3 linked regions of the Drosophila melanogaster genome follow. Changing the gene in region 3 together with the main gene of any one other region gives a genetic interaction. Each region holds a gene or a part of one and is shown on either strand. Other genes may lie near its edges.

Region 1 (9,618 bases), about 11 Mb from region 3:
TAAGCTCTCCATTTCGGCTCAGGCTCAGTTAAGCTAAGCTTGACTTGGGCAGCTCCGAAAAGGGAAAGTACAAATCGCACTTTCCTAAGCACTTAGGGCTTGCCATTGGCAATCTACTGCGAGTAGTAGTAGTCAATGCAGCATTGGCCTAAGGATGCAACCCAACCCAAAAACGAGCTCGAGTCTCGAACAGCCGAGCCCAGTCCATAAAACGTAACTCAAGTTCAATATGATTCACTTTCGCTTTCGATGCGTTCGAAATTAAATTTCTTCTCTTTGTCTCGGCTATTTTGGATGGGCGCAGTTGCTAAAAATTAATAGCTTTGTGTCGCGGTAAGTACGCGCTTATATCCGCATGAATTTGCGGGCTGGAGCGACACACATTCTGTCTGTATATACTAAATGCTAAATGTGGCGAACACTTATGTATACTCGAGGTTAGGGGAAAGCTGCCTCCACTGCGTTCGCCACTCTGTGGCCCCCAAGATTGCGATGCAATTAATCATCGGACAAAACGCATTGTTCGCGTTCCCTGGCAACGGCGATGGGATCGGGCGTGGGGATCCGAAGGTGGAAGTCGGACCCCGGGCCTGCCCACTCCTCGGATTCGAGCTGCTGCTCCCGAATACTTAAGTCGGTCATTGGCGCTTGGCCAGTGCGTTTTTTTTTCCGCTTCCTCCATTTCCACATCCACTTCAGATGCTCCCTCGTTTTTACATAGTTTTCTTGACCCAATTTTGCTGTAGGACGAGGTGCAAAGAATTTTTATTGCTGATACTTTTACGTAAAAGTTCAAAAGCATAATTATTTAAATCATTACAGCAGGATGGATATGAAAAAAAATACAAAACGTGTCCCATATTCCAAATAAAAAAGTTTTGCATAGTAGTTTGGTTTTATGTAGTTTTATTATTATGTTTTCACTGTATAATAAACTTGGTTTGAATGCATGTATATGTATGTTTTAGTTCGATCTTGAATCGTTTTATAAATCAGCTTAGTCATTATTATCTTTATTTAATATAATTAATAATTAAAACTGTGCGAAACTCGCATTTTCGCCTATCAAAAATTACTCCTAATCAAATTTTCGGTTAGTATTGGGGGCTGGATCTGGATCTGGATCTCGGTTGTTGGAACGGGTTTATCTTTTTCTATTTTACAATACAAAAAACAACTCAAGTTGCTCGAGATGATCTATGATCTGACTGGTTATATCTCTCTCGGTTTCTTTCTATATATAGTCAATTTTAAACCATGTTGTTTTATTATATCGCTTTAGAACACATTGTAGTTTGCAGTTCGTGTAAGTTTTTGTTTTTTTTTTTTTAATCGAAACCAAAAATTGTCTCACACAACTCAGTAAACTTAGACAACTATTTTGAAAGGTCTCTTTCGTCCCCTTCGACGGGTAGAAAATGCTTCGATTTGGGATACCAGAGATGTTGACGTTCACTAAGGCTAGTATTCAATTTGCTTCGGATGTCCCTAACCGATTTCTAAGTCTTTGCTTTAGATTTCTAGCTGGTTGCCCCTTGGCTGGCAGACTTGCCTAACGAGTCTGTCAGAAGGGTTATTGGGCTTGTTGAAGTCGATTCTCGGGTTGTATGTCTATTAAGCCATGCTTAGGGGTTCTATATTTTGTCTATGTATTGCTTGATCGATCTGAGATTGATATTGGCTAGCCTAGATGTCAGCCGCAAACTTGGTGAGCAGAAAGCAAGGACTTTAAGCTGTTCAAGGATATAAAGATTGGTTCAATCGGAGCTATCTGATATCTCTCCTCAGCATAGGCTGGCTTTAGCTAGTTAGTTCGTTCCTAGTCATGATTTGGAACCATCATCGTCACATGTCCAAGACTCCAACCGAAACATCCCGACTTGCTGGCTCCTCAATTCTCGGTTCTCCTCGAGTTCCACCTAACTTCGCCGCTTCTTTGGCATTTTCTTTTCGTTTCTATATCCCTTCGTTTTCGATTTGCTGTTTATTGTAATCATCGAGTGATAGGTTTCGTTTAACATTTAGAAGAGAGATTATGCTTTCAATTTCTTTGTTTTCAGTTGAAATTCCCGAACTTGATTTTATTTAATAATTTTTATTTACAATATTTATTTTGTTTTCTTTACGAAATATAAAATAACTTTTTGTTTCGTTTTATTCTTGATTTTTGTTTTTATTGCGCATATAAAAATATCAAAAATTCTTTATTTTCTTTTAGGTTTTTTTTCTGTTTATATAATTTTTAATCTTCCTTTTGGAACTATTTGTAAGTCTGTTGTGGTTGATTTATATATATTTTTTGCTGACTTGCTCTAAGTATACAAAACTTGTTATGAACTTTTCAATGCCAAAAATGAAATGACAAAGATACATTTTTTATTGTGTCAAAGGTTAAACCTTTTCTGTGGCCTCAAATGGTGACTTCCATTTTCCACACGACACATACATCCTTTGTTTTTTTTTTGCATTTACTCTTGAGTTTTTGCTTTTTTTTTATAAATATTTACAAATATATATTTTTCGTAAAAAATTATAATAAAAAATGGCGTCAATTGTAATCATTTTGCTGTTGCCGTTATTGTTTCGAAATATGTTTCTGCCTGAATATAACTTTTAGTTGCTTGCTAATTATTGGCGCCTATAAACTGCATTGATGTATGTTTCCCTCGTTTATTAACTATTAGTTTGTTTGTTTCTGTTGTTGTAGTTTTGCATAAAGCACAGCACATTAGAGGCAATTTTAACATTATATATAACTTGTAATTGTTTCTGTTTCTTTTTTGCTTCTTTGGAGTATAAATAATTTATATATACGAGTGTTGCATGTGGGGGCGGTTGTTGAATATGTGTATTTCGATTTGTTGCTGTCAAGTTAACTAAACTTCATGTTCGCTATATGCTAAGTGGCTGTGTGAGTGCTGTCTGCGTGAATAATCTGTATAATCAATCAGCTTAAGCGACCCCTAGAGGATGCGATCCGATGATGCATGCTTTATCCTAGCACTAAGTCGCTCTAAGTCGCTTGGTTAAATGTTTTCCTTGCGTTTAAAATTAACTAATCACTTCAAGCGCTATGCCCCAAGTGTTATATTTAGTTGTATATATAATTATATATATATATATATATATATTTATATATATGTGTATAATCATATGTAGTAAATTATTTTCCTCGGCTTCGGCTGTTGCCCTTTCGTTCAACGTTCCCTTTCTCATTATACAAAAATAAGTTACTATCAATTCAATTCTCTTATTATTGGTGTATATAAACTAGCAAGAAAACCCTTTGCTTGCCTTCGTTATCATGGTATAATTAATATTTAATATATTCTTGCTGTTGTTTTCTTTTGCCCATTTCTATGTGTTATAGGTATAGTATAGTAATAGGTGATGAAGCAGAACATGATGTGTGCTGGTAAAAGTTTGTAAACTTGTTCTATTGCATCGATGCGAGACTTGTGGAAGTACTAATGTGCGACGAGGTGCCCAACGTGGAGGCCATGTCTCCTTGGTAGCTGAACTGTGGCGGTGAAACCAAAAATTGGATGAGCATACAGAACCCCACTTTAAATGTTTTCAACTAGATCTTACCTGCGGGAAAAGCGGCTCTTCGGCTATGGAGCCCAACGGGCCAGTGGGATCCGGCGGCGTCAACTCCACACTCTCTCCCGTAAACTCCTTGTCGAAGTACCTTGTATCCGTATCGGATGTCACCTGAGGCTTGAAAGGCGGCGGTATCTACGGTAAGCATTTTAAATTCGATTAATATATACGAATAGGTAACTGACAGATTTACTGTGCCCTACTTTTTTCAACACTAGATCTGTCCAGTTAATACTCGCAAAGAATGGATGTGCTTGTATCTCCTTGACATCATCCTTTCCACCTCCCAAACGCTTTTTGGGATCCTTAGCTAGAAGGCCTGCTAACAGATTTTTCGCCTCATCTGTGATATTACGCGGGAATTTTACCTCCTCCACCAAAATCAATGTAAAGAGCACATCATGATCACGATTGTAAAACGGAAGACGACCACAGATCTGTAAGGAATTATTTTTGTTTTTAATACTTGTTAATAGTATTTGCAGATGCAACAAACTCACCATCTCGTACATGACCACGCCAGTGCCCCACCAGTCCACCGCTTGGCCATAATCATTGTCATCTAATACTTCCGGAGCTAGGTATTCCGGTGTACCGCAGAAGGTTTTCGTTGTGCGGCCGTAGGTGATGTCCTCCTTGCACAGACCGAAGTCTGCGACCTTTATGTGACCATCTTTGTCCAGCAAAAGATTTTCCAGCTTTAAGTCGCGATAAATTATGCCCTGTGAATGCAGATAGCCCAGAGCAGAAATGATCTCTGCCCCATAGAAACGTGTTCGATCCTCAGTAAATATGCGTTCGTGGCTTAAATGCCAAAAGAGCTCGCCACCGTTCACGTACTGCATCACAAAACACAGGCGGTCGTTGGTTTGAAACGAATATTTGAGTGACTGCAAAACAGGGAAGACATATATTAGTTTTTTAACGTAAATTATATATTACTAGCAATACTTACAATGAGGAACGGATGATTTGTGGACTTGAGCACACGACTCTCGGTCAGGGTATGGGCCACCTCGTCCTTTTGGATAATAACTTCCTTTTTAAGAATTTTGATCGCGTACAGCTTGGCGGTAGCCTTCTCGCGACACAAAATAACCTTACCAAAGGTGCCCTTGCCGAGCACCTTGAGGAACTCAAAATTCTCCAAAGTCTACAAGGAGATAAGATGGAGTCAGCTCGATCACGCCCTTGGTCAATGACCAGGTGAGTGGTACTTACCACTTTCTTAACGCCGCTGCTATTACAAGTCGTTCCCTGTACGGAGAACTGCTCGGAAAGCTCGTCCTCGGCAATGGTGGCCATGTCCACGTCTGTCATGTCTGTCTGTTCAGATGGCGTCATAGCCACCTCACCCACATCTATGAGCCGGCTGGATACGTTGCGAATGGCCTCCGTCCACTGCTGGCGCTCTAATTCTGATTCGACGGCAAATGTCCTTTCGATTACCGTGGTCCATTGCAGGCCGCGGATGATGAAGGTGAATGGCTTGGGCCGATCGACGGTCATGATCTGGCAGCCGCGCACCGTAAAGTTGTTGAGCAGGAAGTCCGATGGCGTGCTGGCACTATCTGCCGGCTTGCTGCGGTAACCCATCAGTCTTCCATCGGAGTGGAGCACGAAGTAGCGCTGGCGCCAGTTCTTTATGTGCTCGCCCCTCTTCATCAGCCACCCCTCCTTTACGACCTGAGTCTGTTCCGTAAGCGCATGACCCGATGTAACGCTGGGCGAGCTGAGGTCGAAAGTTGTGTTTATTGACATGGTTCCGGAATCGTGTGTAGGGGCCGCGGAGGTCCTGCTTGGCCAGGATTGCTGCCAGCTGAATTTCTCTGCACTGCCGCTGGTGGGGCTGCTGTTTGGATGGGTGGATTGGCTGTAGATGATGTTAATGATGTTGCTCCCTGTGGTGGTGGGCGATTCCGGGATCCTAGAGGCAGATCCTGGCGCTGGGGCGCTGGCAACCACAGTCGATCGCCGCTGAAGAACAAACGGTAGGTAATTCGTGTTGAGGCTGTTTCACTAACCCTAGGGACAAGCTAATGAGGGACCTGTAAGAGGAGTACAGTGAATCCTTTATATTCATGCTGAGTTTGAAATACTTAAACTAAGAATGCGATCGACGAAAAGAAAAAGGCTTTAGCAGAGGGTTCGTCTAGTAACACCTTTACCTTCAGGGATTCAACATGTACTAGATATTAACTGATCCGCCAACTGTCGACATAAACTAGTCAAAGTGGACAAATGGAGTTCCCAAATGAGCTAGCTATCAAAAAAGGGGAAACAGACACTAAAAGGCTGCCAAGTCTATCCAGATATATACTTCCCACATCGCCTATCTCACGCTGATAGTAAACAATTGTTATTGTCATTTTGCATGTTTATGACAAATGCAGTTGGCGCTTGCGTCAGCAGCTGGTGCAAAACATTTGCGGCATTTCCGTCGCCAGAAAGGGATTGAATTGGATTGAGGACTGTGATTCTGATTGTATCGAATTGGATGGGTTGGTATGGTGTGGCATGGTATGGGATTGGATTCTTAGTCACTGGCCCACATGCAGATGTAGGCGCCATCGTCGCCTTGTTGTTGCTGCCACTTTCGGCTTCAAACGAAATTCCCCGCCATGTTACGCAGCGACACGGCGATACGAGTGAAAATTGTTCGCGATTGCATTTAGCGCGAAATTAAATCAAAACAAGTCGACGGCGGCGACTGTTCATGAACTTATGTATATGCATATATAATACATACATATACATATGTACACATACAGGGGACTCGCAGGCGGCACTCGCACTCGTACTCGCACTCACACTGGCACAACTGCAAAAGCAAAAGCATATTCATTTACAATTTGCGAAAATGTCAACGACGGATGGCCGCCGGCTGTACAAATGTCGCTATCTATCTAAAACTGTAAACAAATGTACATAAAATAAAAATCGACAAAATACACACACAGGCATAAGCGGACAGGCGCTCGCACACCGAGGCAGTCACACAGACAGGGCTGCATTGCAAAGTGCGAGTGAGGCCAGACTGTGGGTGCGAGGGGGAGGGAGACAGACAGTACGCGTGTCTGCCACAAAGGTGTATGAGTGTGAGTGTATGTGTGAGTGTCTGGCCGTGTGCGTGTGATTGTCTGGCCGTGTGGGTGTGAGTGGCTGAGTGAGTGAACCACCGAGTGTGCGAGTGTGTGTGGGCAGCGGCGACCTAGCAGCGCAACATGTCAAATCACTTCGTGGAAATGGAAATTGTGGAAATGCTGGTGAAAAATACAAGAACCCACCTAGTTTTGTAAAAAAAAAAACCCGACTTTTGCTTTCCCTACTGCACTGCGGTTTGTTTTCCTACTCGTTTTGGTATTTTCCTTTAGATGGTGACGGCAGCGACAACGTCACAGGCCTTCTTATTATTGTGCGTGTGTTGTTGTTGCTGCTTGCTATTGTTGTTGTTGCTGCTGCTGCTGTAGTTGTTGTTGTGTTAAGGTGCCAGACACCAGAGGACGGAACGAAACACACACAATCTCGCACTCGCGCACTGGAAGTCGATTTCCGCCACCCGGGCGTTTCCACTTGGTGTTTTCTTGCCTTCCAAAGCAACGTTGCATCAATTGCAAATGCTTAAAAACGTAGTTTTCATAAACAGAAGCACGCACACAGGCAAAGTAAATTTTCCAAGTACCGTTTAGTTTTTACGCTTCACTTTTTTTCGATAACTGGCTCGATAACTGATTCGATCCGCGTTGCCACCTGTTTTAGCGATAGTTAGGCGACTGTTACGGTGGAAAGATGCCAGAGAGAGACATTATTTAAGAGCTGTACAACGCGCAAATATCCCTTAAATTTAAATTAAATGTTTTAGAAGGCAATAGTTCTGTTTTCTGACTGTCTAGGCCGACTCTTTAACTAGAATTCACTTCAAATTTGAATGTATGAACTGCAGATTAATAATAATGCTGTATTGTTATTAAATTCATTTTTAAAAACTTTATTTTATATGCTATGTATACAAAACTATTTCTTATATCGACAAATTGTTATAACTTTTCAAAGCATAATTGATCAAAAATTTGGAAGCCCTATCAATTTTATATATGGTTCCTGTCCGCACTAAGTAGATACTCTGATAAGTATGACCATGTGTAAGTAGCTAGAAAAAGTCAGTTCTCTTTTCCAGTTTCCCAGATCAAATTTGATATTCACCTCTTTGGGCACTCTTGCTCAGATTTGTTTATGCAGAACGCGAAGTCTCCTTTGAATCCGAAAAAAAAACAAAAAACGAGTAGCGAATAAAGTGCCCCATTGGCACAAAACGAGGTAAATAACTTGCAACCCAATCGGAAGGGAGAACATAGCATGCCACTTTCAAATAAACAAATAACGACTCCAGCGCGACTGTGTGTGCGTGAGTCCCTCCCAATGTTTGTGTGTGTTATCAAAAAAGGCGTAGAAAAGTGCAAAAACAAAGGTGTTATTGACTCTCAACTTTCTTTTTCTGCCTATCGTGTGTATCACTGTGGGCTGTGGCCGAATAAGAGCGTTCGCCGAATATGAGCAATTGGAAAAGCATGAGCATAAGTAATGAGGCAGAATCGGTTGCATTCAATTAGTTGGAGAAATGAAAAATATGAAGAGATGGTGTAGAGAGAAGGGAAGAGTGCAGTCTCGAGCAATCAATACCAACGCAGCCACGAGCCCCCCTTTCTTTGTGTGTGTGTGTGTTACCGTGTGAAAACAAAACAAATGTATGCTAGCTGTGGAAAAGAAAGCGCATAATTGAATAATAAATAATAACAGAAACAGGGCAAATGGCAACGACTCAATGACAAAAGTAAAGCCGCCACCGCAGCAGAAGAAATGTGGGTGCAAAAGTGAAGAAATATGCCATTGTTTATGTGATTTGCAAATGTGCACATTCACACAAACACCGTGGCAAGATAACGGTTGTTGTGCGGGCGGGTGCATTGCTCGAAGTGGCTGTGCAATTGTAAGAGCGAGATAGCAATACGAAGAGAACAGGACTGAGCAGTACAGGGGCGAAATCCAGGGGACCTTAAACGTGGATTATGGGCACCTTAAATGTTTTTGTAAAATCAAATCACATAAATACCGTACTTTAAACTATTCAGTGAATTAAAATTGTGTTACTGATTTTAAAAATGTAAGTTGTAATTTCAAGTTTGGAAATGAACGGTATGCCCTGCACGTTTGTCTAGATCCACCCCTGGATAGAGCGCAGCAAAGAGAACAGTGCAAATCGAATTAGTCCAGACTTTTGGTCACGCCCTTGAACTTCGCATTAACCCACCAACGCCCCCCTTCCGCAGCTAGCACCTAAGGACCCCACACACCACATAAGATGTTCAACTTTATGAAGAAGAGCGCTGGGGATGAGGACAAGGAGCGTCGCAAGCGCGAAAAAAAACTGCGCAAAGAGGCTAAGGGCACCTCTGGTGGCCCGGGAATGGGAGGCGTGACTGGCGTCACCGGCAGCATGAGCACCGACGAGCTGCTCCGCCTGGACGAGGTGCGCCGATCGCTTAAAATCCGAGGGCGACGCAAGGAGAAGGAAAAGTTGCCGAGCGGAATTACGGCGGACTATAGCGCAGACTTCTTTGCCGCCCTCAATGCAGATGCAAACGGCGGAAGCAACGGAGGAGCAGTGGGAGCTGCAGATCCCGAGCAGGATCGTGGCAATGAGGAGATTGTAGCATCTGTGATGACGCACATCGAGAGCCGAGCGTCCAATGGCGCCGGCGTGAGTGTCAACTACAGCGAGGTCACACATTCTCTCCTCTCTGGAGGGCTCAAGGTGAGGTCTTTGTCGTTTTCTTATCCGAAATCGTATTGAAAAACTTTGCTTCCACATTCCAGAATCGCTTTCTTCCACCTATACCCCCAAAACCACCCAAGCGTGGCATTCTGAAAGGCTCCCGCAGTAATATGACCAATGTCCACGAGGAGATTAGCTTTGCGGGTAGTGCCGGAGGAGCAGGTGGCACGCCAGAGATGCTA
Region 2 (6,943 bases), on a different chromosome or scaffold from region 3:
TAATGGTAGCAATTGAAAGTTCGGTAAACAATTCATTTAATTGAAATAAACTACCAAATAAACGGATTGTGCTACCAAAATCTTGGCGAGCAGATACAGTGTGCCACAAATTATGAATTATAAATATACGTTCTGATTTAGAACCCTTCCTGTGCTCCTCCACACATGTTATGCAATGAGTGTGGGTGGCACCCCCACATCCCAGAGGCATTGGAATCGATAATTCGATTTCTGGTCCGCGTATACAGAGCAAAATCAAATAAGGAAACAAATGTTAATTATGAGACACGCCTGTCCTTACGTGTGGAAAATAAATTCCATTTCAATTATTTCCTCGATGCATTCGAAATTAAGACGCAGTGGTAAGACAGAGCAAATACATGAATTTCCATTTCGAAATGAGCTTATGTAAATGTGTATTTCAGATTCCACATCCAGCAAACAAATAAATATTTACCTATCCTTGTGTAAAATTGTTTTTTTTTTTATACTTTGCTGACGTCTGAAACTTTGCAAATGTTCTGCTTCTGTGCGTTCTGTGCTTTTCGTTTATTTTGGTTAATCAATAACGCAAATGAACAAGGAACAGGGAGGGGGCTTGCTTTTTTTTTAAACGTTTTGACGAGCGAAAATTTCAAGCGAAATGTTTCGGGGAGGCCAATGTATTTTTGGCATCTGCTCAAAGGCGTCTATATAGCCCATAACCATATGTACGTCTATAACGTACATATATACAATGTGTACTATATGGCAGACGACAATGTCTCGCAGTTTGGCTAGCCGTTGGCGGGACACCATTTATATCATATATGTATATGTTCATATATAGAGCTTTATATAATTGGTACATTTTTGGCACAGATTCATATTCTTAATGATAAATGCCTGAAAATGCTGGGCCAAAAATATTCACTTTACTAGAACGGAAAAATTCCTACAAGTTTGCGAGACAAATAGCTCGTGATTTCCATACCCAAGCAATAATATATTGCTATCTATACGAAATTGTGGAATCAGTAATATTAACTAATTATTATTGCTTGAGTGCGGTATATGTAACTAGCACTTTACTTACCATCGTAGTTGCGAATCTCCAGATCGGCGGGCAGGCAGGCGTAGCTCAGGGAACTGACCGCTTTGTCGTTGGATCGGTGTCCATATTGTCGGTGGGCCTCATGGATTTCCGTGGCGCCGAACTTCTCTGTCAAGGCACGGACGCACTGTTTCTCTCCGGCGATGCAGGAAAGATGCAGAGCTGTGTTTCCATGACGATCGCGCACCGTGGGCTATTCAAATGAGTAATGGGAATCTTTTGTTACAAATATAAATACTTAAATTAGCTTTTGTTAGAAAATCAAGATGATATGACATTACATTCGTCAATAGGGGATTAAGCTAGATTTTACAAATATGCAAATATCTAAATCTTCTTATTCGATCTTTGTTGAATATTACCTCAGCTCCGGCGAGTAAAAGTATCCTCATGATGTTCGGCTGGGCAGTAAGAGCGGCCAGATGAAGGGGTGTCTGGGCCACATCGTTCTGGATGTTGAGCAGGCACGGATGAGGAGCCATGCGAATCAGGGCGGCCACCACGTCCACTGATCCCGAAATACAGGCCAGGTGCAAAGGTCTGAAATGAGAGAGAGAGAGCAAAAAAAACAACATGAATTTGTGGGTTTCTTTTACCTGGCGATCGAACACCCGCACTTTCTTTCCTTCCTGTACACTTGTCGCCGTTCATGTGGCGGCGTAAAAACCCAAGTAAGTTAAGTAGAGGTAAAGTAATGTGAAGAAAGAAGAGGTGCCCCGAAAAACCTGTTCCCGTACCTGCCCACATACCAGGAAAACCCCAAAGCCTGACTAAAACACATGTGTCAGTCGCGTTTCTCGCCTCAGACAATCGTCTTTGAGTGATTCACGAAACTCTCCCCTTAGCTCGCTTGGTGGTCATCAGTGCAACGCGGCGTTGTCTTTGTTATTTTGGGAAATTTTAGGATTCTCATCGGAAATACGGCACGTATAAGTTCATAGAAATTCGGAAATGATTCAAAGACTGTGCTTATAAATCTTTAATCGTGAATTGTCAATGAGTATGTTAAATTGATTTTTAAGAGCATGAAGACCTAAATTCTAATAAAGATTTTTTTTTGGCGATTGTGACAGTCTAAATATAATCAATCGTTTCCAATTTCAAAAAATACCGTCCAATTGTATAAAATATTTAAAATATAAAGTTCTTATGATTGCTAGTCTAAGAATAAGCATGGGAAAGTTTTTAAAGTGACCTAGAGATAAGGCGCTAAAATGTTTAAATCATACTTGGGAATTTCCCCACATTAAAAATACACATTCGAAGTTATCTATAAATGTGGTTTGCACATATATAAATAATTTGAAAGTCTAGAATAAAGTGACATTTCCTGAGATTCTATAATGTTTACTTACGTGTCGCCGTCGTCGTTTTGTTGATAGAACTGCTCCCAGGCGTTCATGATATTAATGCTGCTGGGCGGAGCGGATGATGTTGCTCCCGATCCCGAAGGATTCGCGTTCGCCGTGCTGGCTGTGGAGGATTGAACCTTGCTGCGACCGGTGATTTGGGTGCTGCTGCTCTGGCCGAGATTGTTAAGCTGTTCGCCGCGACTGACCAAATGGCTTTCGACGGTCCATTGTGGGATGCCTGTGTCCGCGCTGTGTTTGAGTCGCATTGAATCGGCGGTGGCAGTGGTGGTGTCCTGGTGCTCCTCCTCTTTCTCCTGCTCCTCCTGATCCTCTTCTTCGTCGATAATACCGGAATCGAGGACAACGGGCTGTTCCTTTTGGGGTGCCGACTCCTGCTGATCCTTATCCTGTTCCTCGCTATCGGGGACTATCTCCTCGCTGAAGATCTGCGAGGATTGCGGGCCGGAGATGAAGCCCGAATCACTGGTTTCGTTTGGCACGGCAAATTCCTTTTGCTTGTTAATGGCGGCCGTTTGATCTTGTGTTTTGCCGCCAATTTTACCGCTAGTGGCTAGTGAGGACGAGGGGTTAGCCGCGTTTGAGGGGGCGCGCTGCTCAACACTGGCAGCGCTGCAGCTGCAGTCACTTGTTGCTGTTGCCTTTGTTGCTGCCTCCGCTGCTTTTGTTGGGCTCGGCATTTTCGTGCTTTTCCTCTCTCAGTTGGGCTAAAATATATGTATATATGTTATATATATACTCCTGTCGTTTTGAACTTTGCTTTTGAGCCCAGTCTCTCAAACACACACACATACACACGCACAGTAAGCGCTCACCTCGGTGGTGCGAGTGAAACAAACATATAGGCTCCAGCGAACAAGTGAAAACGCAATAATTTTTGTAGATTAAAGGCAATTTATGGACTTATGTACAAGTGTAGCCGCAGAAAAATAAAAATTACGGTTTCACACTGGTTGAAAATTTTAGATTTTTCCATTTGCCAATGTCTTATTTGCCTCTTCACGGTTGTTTCACCCGCACACACCCACAATCACACTGAGGTAGATTTTTTATCTCCCTTTTCACACAGCTTCCTTTTCGCTTTTTATTTTCTGCACATGTTCTGGGTTTAAACCCCAGCACTATTTTCTATGGATTTCTCACTACCTTGCTGGTTAATTGTCTTGCGAAGCTGTCTTTAAAACGCGTATTTATGGTTTAAATGTTTGTAATCTGCAATTCGCATAGTACCCGGACGCACGTCTGCTTTCTTTCACGTTTCGATAGCGAATGAAATTGAGGGAGCGCGCTGATATGTATATATTTATATGGCAGTCTATACTATAAAGCCCCGTTTGCACTAAGAGTTATCACGAAATGAAGAGTCTCGATTTTAAATTTTCTTTACTTAGAAAACTGTTAATTGAAAAAAATCTATTTTTTCATATTTGCCCAAAAAAAATAAAATTCTAGACTTGAAAAGACCGAAGTGAAAACGTTTGCCTTAATATATCGACGATGGAGTGTGTAATCGGGGCTTAAATCAGTTTTACATGTGTGCGAGGGAGACCATAGGGTTGCCAGATAGTAGGGAGAGCGCCAAGTTAAAATCTCCCAACAACAAAATGAGCAGCTAAATGGTCAGCTGCAACAAAAGCAACCACAGCAGCGATGCGTTTATTTATACTTCTTACTCTCTGATTGTGTGATTGTTTAGTTCCTCGAGCGAAGCCACTTGATGTTGATGCTCGGCGTCCTACGGTTGAAATGCGTATGACGGCGAGGCGGACAAATATCTGGGAAATCACCCGCTGACCGAGAACGGAAATGAAATGCAGGATTCTTTCTTCGGTTTTTCACAGGTCAGCTTCGATTGAAACCTCGACCAATTCTGAATTTCATGGGATATTCTGAGCGACCGATTTGTCATACACTCTCCTTCTGGGATTTTTTAACACTCAATCACATTTTATCGCCAATTCATGAAATATTATATATACGATTATTTTGGTTTTTACAAGGTTGTATTGATTAAAAAATTATCTGAATCCAAGAAATTTAGAGGGGCTTTACAAGATTATCAGATTCTTACCATAAAACCTGTGTTTACGGTCACAAGTAGTTTCGAAAGTTTTTGCTCGCTTTTTTAATTTAAAATTTAAAATTCCGCCTCTCGTAGTTGTAAAGTTATTTATTATAACAAATAGGTTATTAAAAAATCGGACTTGTTTCCTAAAATTTTGATTAAATTGCTGGGAATTTGTAAATTACTCTTCAGTTTTAGGGGTTTGGTCATTTCCTTGTCGGGTTTTGCTTTTTGCTTTTGTATGACTTAATTAAATTATTCTTTAAAATTTAAATTCTTCGGCTTCCGATTGAATTTCTTGAATTATTATTTATCAGGCGTTCGTTTTTCTATTAAAAACAAGTGTTTGGTGCCAATCTGATAAATTTATTAAGGTATATAAACTTTTTAAATATTTTGTTAATTTCTAATTATTTGTTTGCTATAACATAAACTTTTATCGTTTTATTAAAACTGTTTTGCTATTCTCGTTATTATAAAATCCAAATATTCATTAAATGTTTTTCTAACAAAATTACGCAACAAAAATGTGACCTGCTAATAAAATTATAGTAGTGTTTTTTAATGTTTATTAATATTAACCAATTACTTTATCGCCCAATTTAAAAATTGCGGGTGATAACAGATGATTTTAAGAGCAGGTAAAACAACAAAAATTAAGTTGGCAGCACTTACCGGCCAATAAGTCAATTGCACAAAATCTTAAACGCAGGACCAGAAATATTTTGCAAAGGACGTCAAGGAATGCTGAGAAGGATGAACACTTTTAGTGGTCAAAAGCTGGCGGCTGTGGTCAAGGAGCTGGAGAACTTTGCTCCGACTTCTTGGGCAGAGAAGTGGGACAATGTGGGACTCCTGATCGAACCGCACCGCGAAAAACAAATCAAGAAAATACTATTAACTAACGATTTAACCGAGCCCGTAGTGAAAGAAGCGCTAGAGAAGGAGGCGGAGCTCATAATCAGCTATCATCCGCCAATTTTCAAGCCCCTGACCAGGATTACGCAGTCACATTGGAAGGAGCGCGTGGTGGCAGCATGCTTGGCCAACGATATAGCCTTGTACTCGCCCCACACGGCGTGGGATAAGAAGAGTGGTGGCGTCAACGACTGGCTATCTAAGGCAGTGAATATCATCAGCATCCGCCCTCTGGAACCGGAGTTGGGTGCTCCTCCGGGTACCGGATCCGGTAGATATATAGAAACCAAAATGGAGCTTTCCCAGGTGGTGGAGTCTCTGCAAAAGCGCATTAGAAACAGCGTGCACGTTGCTCTAGCTGTGGGCCACACCCCCAAGACACTCATCCAATCCGTCGGCATTTGTGCCGGCTCTGGAGCATCTCTGCTGAAGGGTATCCAAGCGGATCTTATCATTACCGGCGAAATGTCCCATCACGAAGTTCTGGAGTTTACTCACAACAATACCACCGTTCTTCTCTGCAATCATAGTAATTCAGAAAGGGGTTTTCTCCATGAGTTTTGCCCTATATTGGCCAAATCTTTAAATGAAGAATGCCTGGTATTTGTATCTGAAGTGGACAAGGATCCTCTGGTCACCGTGGCTAGCGATATAAACAAAGAACTAAGCGCATTTGTTGACGTCTACAAGAGCACATCAAAATAACTTTGATCTTATAAGCATTTTTTGTTTAACAATGCATTTTCTGGCGCATCCATAAAGGTTACAAATAAACTAAAGGATTTAACTTTCTTAACTTCTAGACTTGATCCAGCTTAAACTTGCCGCCCTTGCTGGCGGCGTCGTTTCGATTAAGTTGGTAGAGCAGGCGCTGCTCCAGATGTTTCACTGCAGCCACTGTCAGCACCAAAGTATCGTGCTTCAGCATAGAATAGACGTTCAAGCCAAAGGTTGGCATCAGGTTGACATAGCCCAGATCATCGCTAGCCTGGCAAATATTGGCGGGGAACATATGGTCTCTGAGAAAAACAGAATCAGTATCAATTTACATATTATATGTTCACCTACAAGCAGAACTCACTCGTCTACAATCAAAACAGAAGGTCCCCAATTCCGTTCGGCGATTAAATCCTTAAGGAACTCTGCATCTCCGGTGGGTATGTCCACATTATCGATGATGTGCAGATCATCCTGGGCCAGCTTAACACTCAGCGTGGAGGTCAATCCTAAAACCCTCTTATAGAAGGGCAGCATGTAAAAATGGGTCGTAGGCGACCTGGGTCCGTGCACTACGCCGCCGCCCTTCAGCATGGGCGAACGGAGGGAACCGTGGCGGGCACGACCACCTCCCTTTTGGGGCCACGGCTTCCGACCACCACCGCGCACCTCCGCTCGAGTTTTGGTGTGCGCCATGCTTACATAACGATACTTGCTCTGCCACTCCACATTCTCCTGTATGATGTCCACGCGCGGCTGGGCGGCAAAGACATCCGGATG
Region 3 (6,628 bases):
GTAACTTCGCCGTCTTGCCATTTGCATTTCCCACGTTGTCAGGAGGAGTGAAGGGGGGAAAACTCGGGCGCAGTACTGAGGAAAAGCCAAAGTCAACGTCAAAGTTGAACGTGTCAGATACAATTCCATTGCTGGAGCTGAAACTGTTGTTTCTGCCGGGTTATGTCTTTGCGTTTTACTATTTCGGCTTTTGGGCCAAAGAAGAAGCTGCCAGCTGTTAATTGGAATTCGGACTGCCCTTGTTTTGGGTGCCGCTGTCATTCCCGCTTACGATGAAATTTATACAATCTTTCTATTTGGCAGCGCTCAGATCGGGCAGCTCGGGAAACAGAAAGATAAATATACAAAATTAACACGTACTCAGGTGAAAATGAGCAGGTAGTTACCCATGCGATAGCAAGTGTGTGTTCTTGTGTATGAAAGGACGTCTCACACACACACACACACACACAAGACCACCACTCGTTGAGCAAATAACCCCAATAAATAAGCCAAGTTAGACCGATTCGAGGGGCAAGAGGAGGGGGAGCCGAGTTCCAAGCCAAGATGTTCATGAAAAAAGTTAATTAAGGTGTTTGCCCCGCAACAACAACAAGGCCGGGCATTATATGCTAGATATTTATCTCCCGGCTGGGGAAAATGGATCTGGTTGCATGCCGCAGAGTGTTTGCTTTTGAAATGTTTGTCATTATCGTCGTTAACTTTTTGATGAGTCGAACGTGTGTGATAAAAGTGTCACACGGATTGAAAAGAGCGACGAGCGAAAGGAAAAGAAAAACTAATAACGCAGACGGGCCAGAATGAGTTTGTACGTGTGTGTGAAGAGATATATATATGGATGTTGGGGTATATGTATATAGAATGTATCTTTCGGATACCAATTGCCATTAGTTTATTGAGAATCCGAAATTTATGGCTCTGCGTGTCGTGGCCAACCACGCACAAATGGTCACAAATCTGGACCTGAAACACATGTGGGCCTGCCTTTGGTTCCTCCAGCATCTGTGGCACGTACAAATTTCATTTGTTGCACTATTTATGTGCTTCTCCACTGATGAAAATGAAATCAAATTAAATTTTCGGCACAATTCAAAGTGAAATTTTGCAGCTAACATAAAACAAGGCAAATGAGGAATAAATCTCCCGATGTGTGTCCTGTGCGCTGGGTTTTCCCATGTGGGTACATTGAATGGGAAATTACTGGAATTTCCTTTCGGTCAGAATTACATGCGCATATTTCGGTAATATCTTTGAAATTTACAGTAAATCCTAGGTATTTGAAATGAAAAACACGGGCAGTGTGGCAAATGTGTATATTAATGCATCTTTGCGGGGAGAAGTAGCCATTATGTTGCCTATTAAGCTTATCCAGATTTGCGTTGCTTTGTTTGATTTGACGTAAAGTTATTTGCTTGGAAAGAAAACATCTTAAATCCTTGAAAATTGTGGTGTAAGCCTAGTAGTAAACATTAAAATTGTTGTTGTAATATTTCAACAAATTTATTTAAATTTCAAAGACTTTAGATAATTACCAATTGGGAAATGGAATCAACACAAGATTGCTATGAAAATTGTACATGAATTCAAAGATTATTCATAAGCATGTCCTAATTTTCCATACGCCGTGCATAATTACAGAAAACACAGTTGCAGAGGGATACGATTTCCATTTGCATTTCCCATTCCCCGTCCCTGTCGCACTTCACACGCTGCTCCCCCGGGAGCTATGTCCCATCCTTGTTCCGCATTAGCAGAACGCACTTCCACTTCATTTGAGTCGCAAGCGGCAGAGCGAGAGGGTAGATGTTGTGGAAGTGTGGTTTTAATTGGCACACAACAACAACAGCAAGCAGTCTGCTACGTGCTGGCAATTACATTTTACATTTTACTCAGAGAGAGAGACTAATCAACTAATAAATCCATAATCACTGTTATTACGTATGCTGCCTGAGATGCTTAGACTTTGAAGTTAACCGGTTAAACTTGGCTAACAAGAACTGAGAACTACTGGCCAACAACAACTGCCGGCTTTTCCCCCAAAAATGAAAACAAAACAGTAGAAGGCTCTCTTGCTCTACCACTTTCTCTTATACTCTTATACGAAGTACCTGTATTTCAACTGTTTTCCTCTCTCGCATGACTTTTATCGCATGCGATTTGTTTATAGTGCAACGACCACAGACACGAAGATAATTCGTGTGTCTCTCTCTTTTTCTCCCACGCATCTGTACCTTCGAACGGTATTTGTGGGGTAGAAGAAATTGCTCGACTTATTATATCGTTTGCCACTCAGAAGTTAGGGAAAGAATTTTATTTTTTATAAAAATCCTAGTCAACTAACATAAATCAACTGAAAGCTCGATTCCTCATATTATCACATTGTGTTATTGCTACAAGAACTGTTGTTCTAAAAATTCTTATCAGTACGTCAAAAATATAAAAAAATTTCGAGACTAGCATTTTTATCCAACTCATATTTATTTATAATAAGCTGATTATATATAAAACCCAAACAGCTTTATAGAAATAACTTCACACGTTATTTAAGGTTAAAAAAGTAGCAAGATAGGATGTTATTAAAAGTAGAATATAAAAAATATAATAATAATTTAAAATGTCTTAACAAACTGGAGCTTAAGGAACCAAAAGCAAACAAAATGATATAAAACATATAAAGACTGTGACAAAATTATTAAAATTTAAAATAAAATATATTAATAGGCTGATTACAAATTTAAGTAAATAATGTTTTCTATATTGAGCAAAGGGTATCTTGCCGCCGACTCAGCCACTCTCTCGTCTTTCCCTCCACACTAAGCGCACTACCAGCTCTTCATCTCTCAGTTCTTCTTTCTTTTCGAGTCGAGTTCAGTTTGTTCCGAATCGCCGACGTGAACGCACGCTTGTCGCGCTTGTAGCAGTTGGATTTTTGATTTTCCCAGCCAGAGTCCCGCGTTCGTGTGTTGTGGGCCGCTTTTGTTTGTCTCGTTTTGTGGCCAGCGATTTGGCAACCGAATAAGCCAAGTTAAGAGCAACGCTACGCAGCACAAAATCCATAAAAACAAGAAACACAAGGCGCAATTAAATGCAAATGTGTGAAAGTGTAGCAAGCATTTAACCAAAAATAAAATCGCAAAAAATCGCGGCTTCAAAGTGCGAACAAGCGCGAACAGAGAAGCTAAACAACAGTGCCAGTGCGTGTTTGTTCGTGGCAGCTTAAGAAAAGCCAAATAAATATTAATATTTGCACAAGAGATCGCAGCGGAGTAGCTAACCTCACATTTAATAAAACACGTATTAAAACGGTAAGTATTTACGTCTCCTTGTTCAGTTATTACACTTTGAACCGTGCCATCTCGCTCTGTCTCGTTATCTCCCATTCGATTTTGCTTTGTGCTAAGCTTCGCTTGGCTCGCGCTAAGCTCAGCTATCTCTGTCCCACTCTCTGATCAGTCCAATTCGCCTATAATTGCACAGAAAAAAATTTACCAAATTGATGGCTCATCGGGCAATTGGTTGACATTTTGTTCCAGTTTTGATCACAGTCAGATAAAATCAATTTAAAGTACATAAAATGAGCTGTAAAATATTTGTAAACATCTTTAAATTGATCTATTAATACTACTACTACTACTACTACTACTACTAGTACTCTGCGTAAAACCGTATTTTTTCCTGTGCAAATTGGCGATGAATAACAGTTTCAGCAGTTGTAACCGTTGCACAATTTTCCCCAGTGCTTGTGTGTGTCACACTCTTGTTGTCCACAATTTCCGTGGTTTTTCTCGGCACTTTCCAGGGAAATGTGCAAAATGCTGCAGTGCAGCAGCAAGTGCTCTTCGGCCTTGGGGTGTGCTTTGCGTTTTGGCCAACCCATGAACGAAACAAAAAAGAAAACAAAGCCACACGCATTTGGCCCAAAGCTCACGAGCCAGCATATTAACACTTTGAATTTTTGGCCAAAAACCAGTTTGGAATCGAAAAAACAAACAGACACAACAAAAGTTTATTTACTACCAAAGAGAGCTTCGTTCAACAGGTTTTCATTGCGGGGACTTTTATTCGTATTGAAGGTGGAAATACCTGGGTAATGCAGGTTTCAAAAGTACTTCTAACAAACCAGAAAATGCCCACTTGTGCTTTAAAAGCTAATAAGTTGCTGATTAGAAACAGCAAAACAAAATAAGAGAAGAAGGAAGGGACAAGAATCTTCTCGCTTGTACCAATTATGGTAAAAATCGTATGACCTTATGATAAACTTAGACTTTTGTTTTTAATTCATTTCGATTCTTCTTGGGTTTTCCAACACCATAAATCTCTTCTTAGTTGATAGCCCTTGACCACTAGCTACATTTATATGAAAAATTCGGAAAACCCCAAGATTCAACCCCAAAAGTTCAACGATTATCGCTCAGAAGCAGCAGGTCTTGAATTCAAGAACAATGCTGTTTTAACAATAATTATACAATATATATAAATTTTGATTGTATTTTTTTCCGATAGTTAACATCCTGCCATTGAGCTTCTTTCGCCTGAGGGTTTTCCGAATAACTGTACTCTGGATTTAGGTTAAGATTTTTCTTCTTTGGCCCACATCAAAGGCAAAGAAGCTTTCAAAGCGGCTATAACAATGGCGGCAAACTGAAAAAAAAAAATGCTAGTCTTCGTCTGTGAAGGTAAAACTGCGGAAGTCATTTAACAGTCTACTTAACTTCTGCCAAAAAAAAAAGAAGTGAACGAAAAAAATGAAGTGGAAAACGGCAAACTGCAAACGTTCAAGATGCTCCGCTTGGGTCTTTCGTCTTGGCCACGTTAGAAAGTAGCTGTAATTGTGGCTCCGTTATTGTTATGGCCAAACCGCCACTAGTCCAACTGCAGGCGGTAAAAGTTGCCCAAAATGAATTGTCATACAAACACGTTTGTTATAAATATTTCTGCACAATGAGAGACTCATTTAAGATTCATTGTACTCGCTTTTTTAGTTGTTAGCTTTATTTTTCCCCCTCTCATTATTGAGGGCGTTTGTCCACTCGGTTGATAAGCGAAAAGGCAGAAAAACAATATTCAAAGCTGACTCCGCTTTGGTTTTTACATCTGCCAAGTGTTTTTTAGCTTTCTGCTATTTCACTCTTAGTTATTGGCGACTTGTGTTGATAATTAGCACGTCGGCTTTCAGCGTTTCTATGACTTGTGGTCCGCTCAGCGTGATGAGTCAGCCTCCTAAGCTGAAAAGAGCGTTACGATCGAACCACCATATGTCTTACTCTCCCGATCTCAGATCAGCGGGCGGTTTAACCCAAAGTCAAACCAGATCCGTGACGTAAATGGGAGACAAATACACGCAAAAAAAAAACAAGACTGAAGATCTGAAGATTGTATCTATAAGATCTGTTATTAAAGTGATATGTAATTACATACTACATTCTTATATGATGACTATAATGACTAATATAAACACGTTTTAATATAGTACAAGTTTATATTATATAGCGTAATATCATACTTACCGTATTGTTATCACCTGTTTTTTTTTAACAACTCATTTCTTTTCGTGTGATTTCAACGTGTGAGGTTTTTTACTCTCCAATCAGATTGAACTGAGATAGAACTGCCTGACCAGTCACAGGGCTTATTGCCTTGCATTCAATTAATTAATTTCAATTTTATTGCTTCAGCTGACCATAAAATCGTGAAGGGAGGAATAACCATAAGTTCCCCACTGCGACATTCTCTCGGTGGAGGGAAATGAAGTCGTTGCACTTGCTTTCACCCTAATGCCTTCATCAGCTGCACAAACGAAAAATCTCATTAATTTTCCACTTTCTGTCTATCTTTGGGTTATCTCTCCATTGTTTGTCCCCGTCCCAGTTCCCTTTATGTTCTTACTATTTTTTTTTTTTTTTGGCCCTACCTGCGTGCAGGAGTTTTCCCTCATGAAGTTTTCGGTCGCGACATGTTTTCTGATCCGTGTCCTGTGCTCTGGTCTAGTTCATTAGATGGACTTGGCTAATCGATTTCCATAATCAAACAGATGGCGCCAGAATATGAGAACGAGAATGAGACATAGCAAATGAAGCCGAGTAAATGTTGATATAATAAACCCCGTGTGGCAGGGCCAATTAGGCCTTACTCCTCACCTGTGACACAGCCACATATTTTCTCATTTGAATAAAGAAACACGACCACAGCAGGGGAAACATTAGACGCGCCTAAACGTAGAAATTAGCGGCCACAGAAAACGGGAGGGAAAAATTCCAAAAAAATAAACATACCGAAAAAGAGAAATTTAATTAAAGCCGCATAGAAAAAAATGCATAAATTTAGTCACCCAAAACACCCACCCACCTGGCATGTAATATTTGTAACCTCATTGCGGCGGCAGGGGAAAGGCGGTGTAATTTTCACGGTCCCCGATCTGCAGCTTTTCACCAACTTGGCGGGTCAGTCCGGCATAATGATTAGGGTCAGTGTGGGGTGGAAAGTCGGGAAAACTCCTGCCACCCAGCTGGAAAAGGAAAAGCAACAGCAGCGGCATAAGCATCAGCATCAGCAGCAGGTTGCCAACAATTTCTGCTTATAATTTTCCGTTTTTCATCCTCCTTTTCTTTTTGGCCCGCTTTGTTCTGGT

Evidence for each region. A genetic interaction does not mean that the proteins touch.
Region 1: of Tl (region 3) and Akt, changing one suppresses a phenotype caused by changing the other (phenotypic suppression), as found in Drosophila melanogaster (3 studies listed by BioGRID).
Region 2: of Tl (region 3) and cact, changing one suppresses a phenotype caused by changing the other (phenotypic suppression), as found in Drosophila melanogaster (2 studies listed by BioGRID).

Annotation. Positions count from the first base shown.
Region 1 is NT_033777.3:16,096,933-16,106,550, reverse strand, and holds Akt (Akt kinase), read right to left. Parts: upstream 7,324-9,618; 5' UTR 6,891-7,323; intron 5,792-6,890; exon of another isoform or gene 5,772-5,791; intron 5,652-5,771; 5' UTR 5,608-5,651; coding exon of another isoform or gene 5,365-5,607; coding exon 4,825-5,364; intron 4,757-4,824; coding exon 4,559-4,756; intron 4,494-4,558; coding exon 4,104-4,493; intron 4,041-4,103; coding exon 3,807-4,040; intron 3,739-3,806; coding exon 3,592-3,738; intron 3,521-3,591; coding exon 3,437-3,520; 3' UTR 881-3,436; downstream 1-880. Other genes in the region: Mhcl (myosin heavy chain-like), read left to right, coding at 8,963-9,415, 9,478-9,618. UniProt on the Drosophila melanogaster protein: Serine/threonine kinase involved in various developmental processes. During early embryogenesis, acts as a survival protein. During mid-embryogenesis, phosphorylates and activates trh, a transcription factor required for tracheal cell fate determination.
Region 2 is NT_033779.5:16,321,885-16,328,827, forward strand, and holds the start of cact (cactus), read right to left. Parts: upstream 4,324-6,943; 5' UTR 4,137-4,323; intron 3,742-4,136; exon of another isoform or gene 3,610-3,741; intron 3,537-3,609; exon of another isoform or gene 3,171-3,536; 5' UTR 3,144-3,170; coding exon 2,449-3,143; intron 1,634-2,448; coding exon 1,456-1,633; intron 1,287-1,455; coding exon 1,076-1,286; intron 1-1,075. Other genes in the region: CG4278 (uncharacterized protein), read left to right, coding at 5,273-6,151; mRpL4 (mitochondrial ribosomal protein L4), read right to left, coding at 6,246-6,465, 6,528-6,943. UniProt on the Drosophila melanogaster protein: Involved in the formation of the dorsoventral pattern. It inhibits nuclear translocation of the dorsal morphogen in the dorsal region of the embryo. Acts as a negative regulator of the NF-kappa-B (rel) signaling pathway.
Region 3 is NT_033777.3:26,796,176-26,802,803, forward strand, and holds the start of Tl (toll), read left to right. Parts: upstream 1-2,865; 5' UTR 2,866-3,305; intron 3,306-6,628. UniProt on the Drosophila melanogaster protein: Receptor for the cleaved activated form of spz, spaetzle C-106. Binding to spaetzle C-106 activates the Toll signaling pathway and induces expression of the antifungal peptide drosomycin.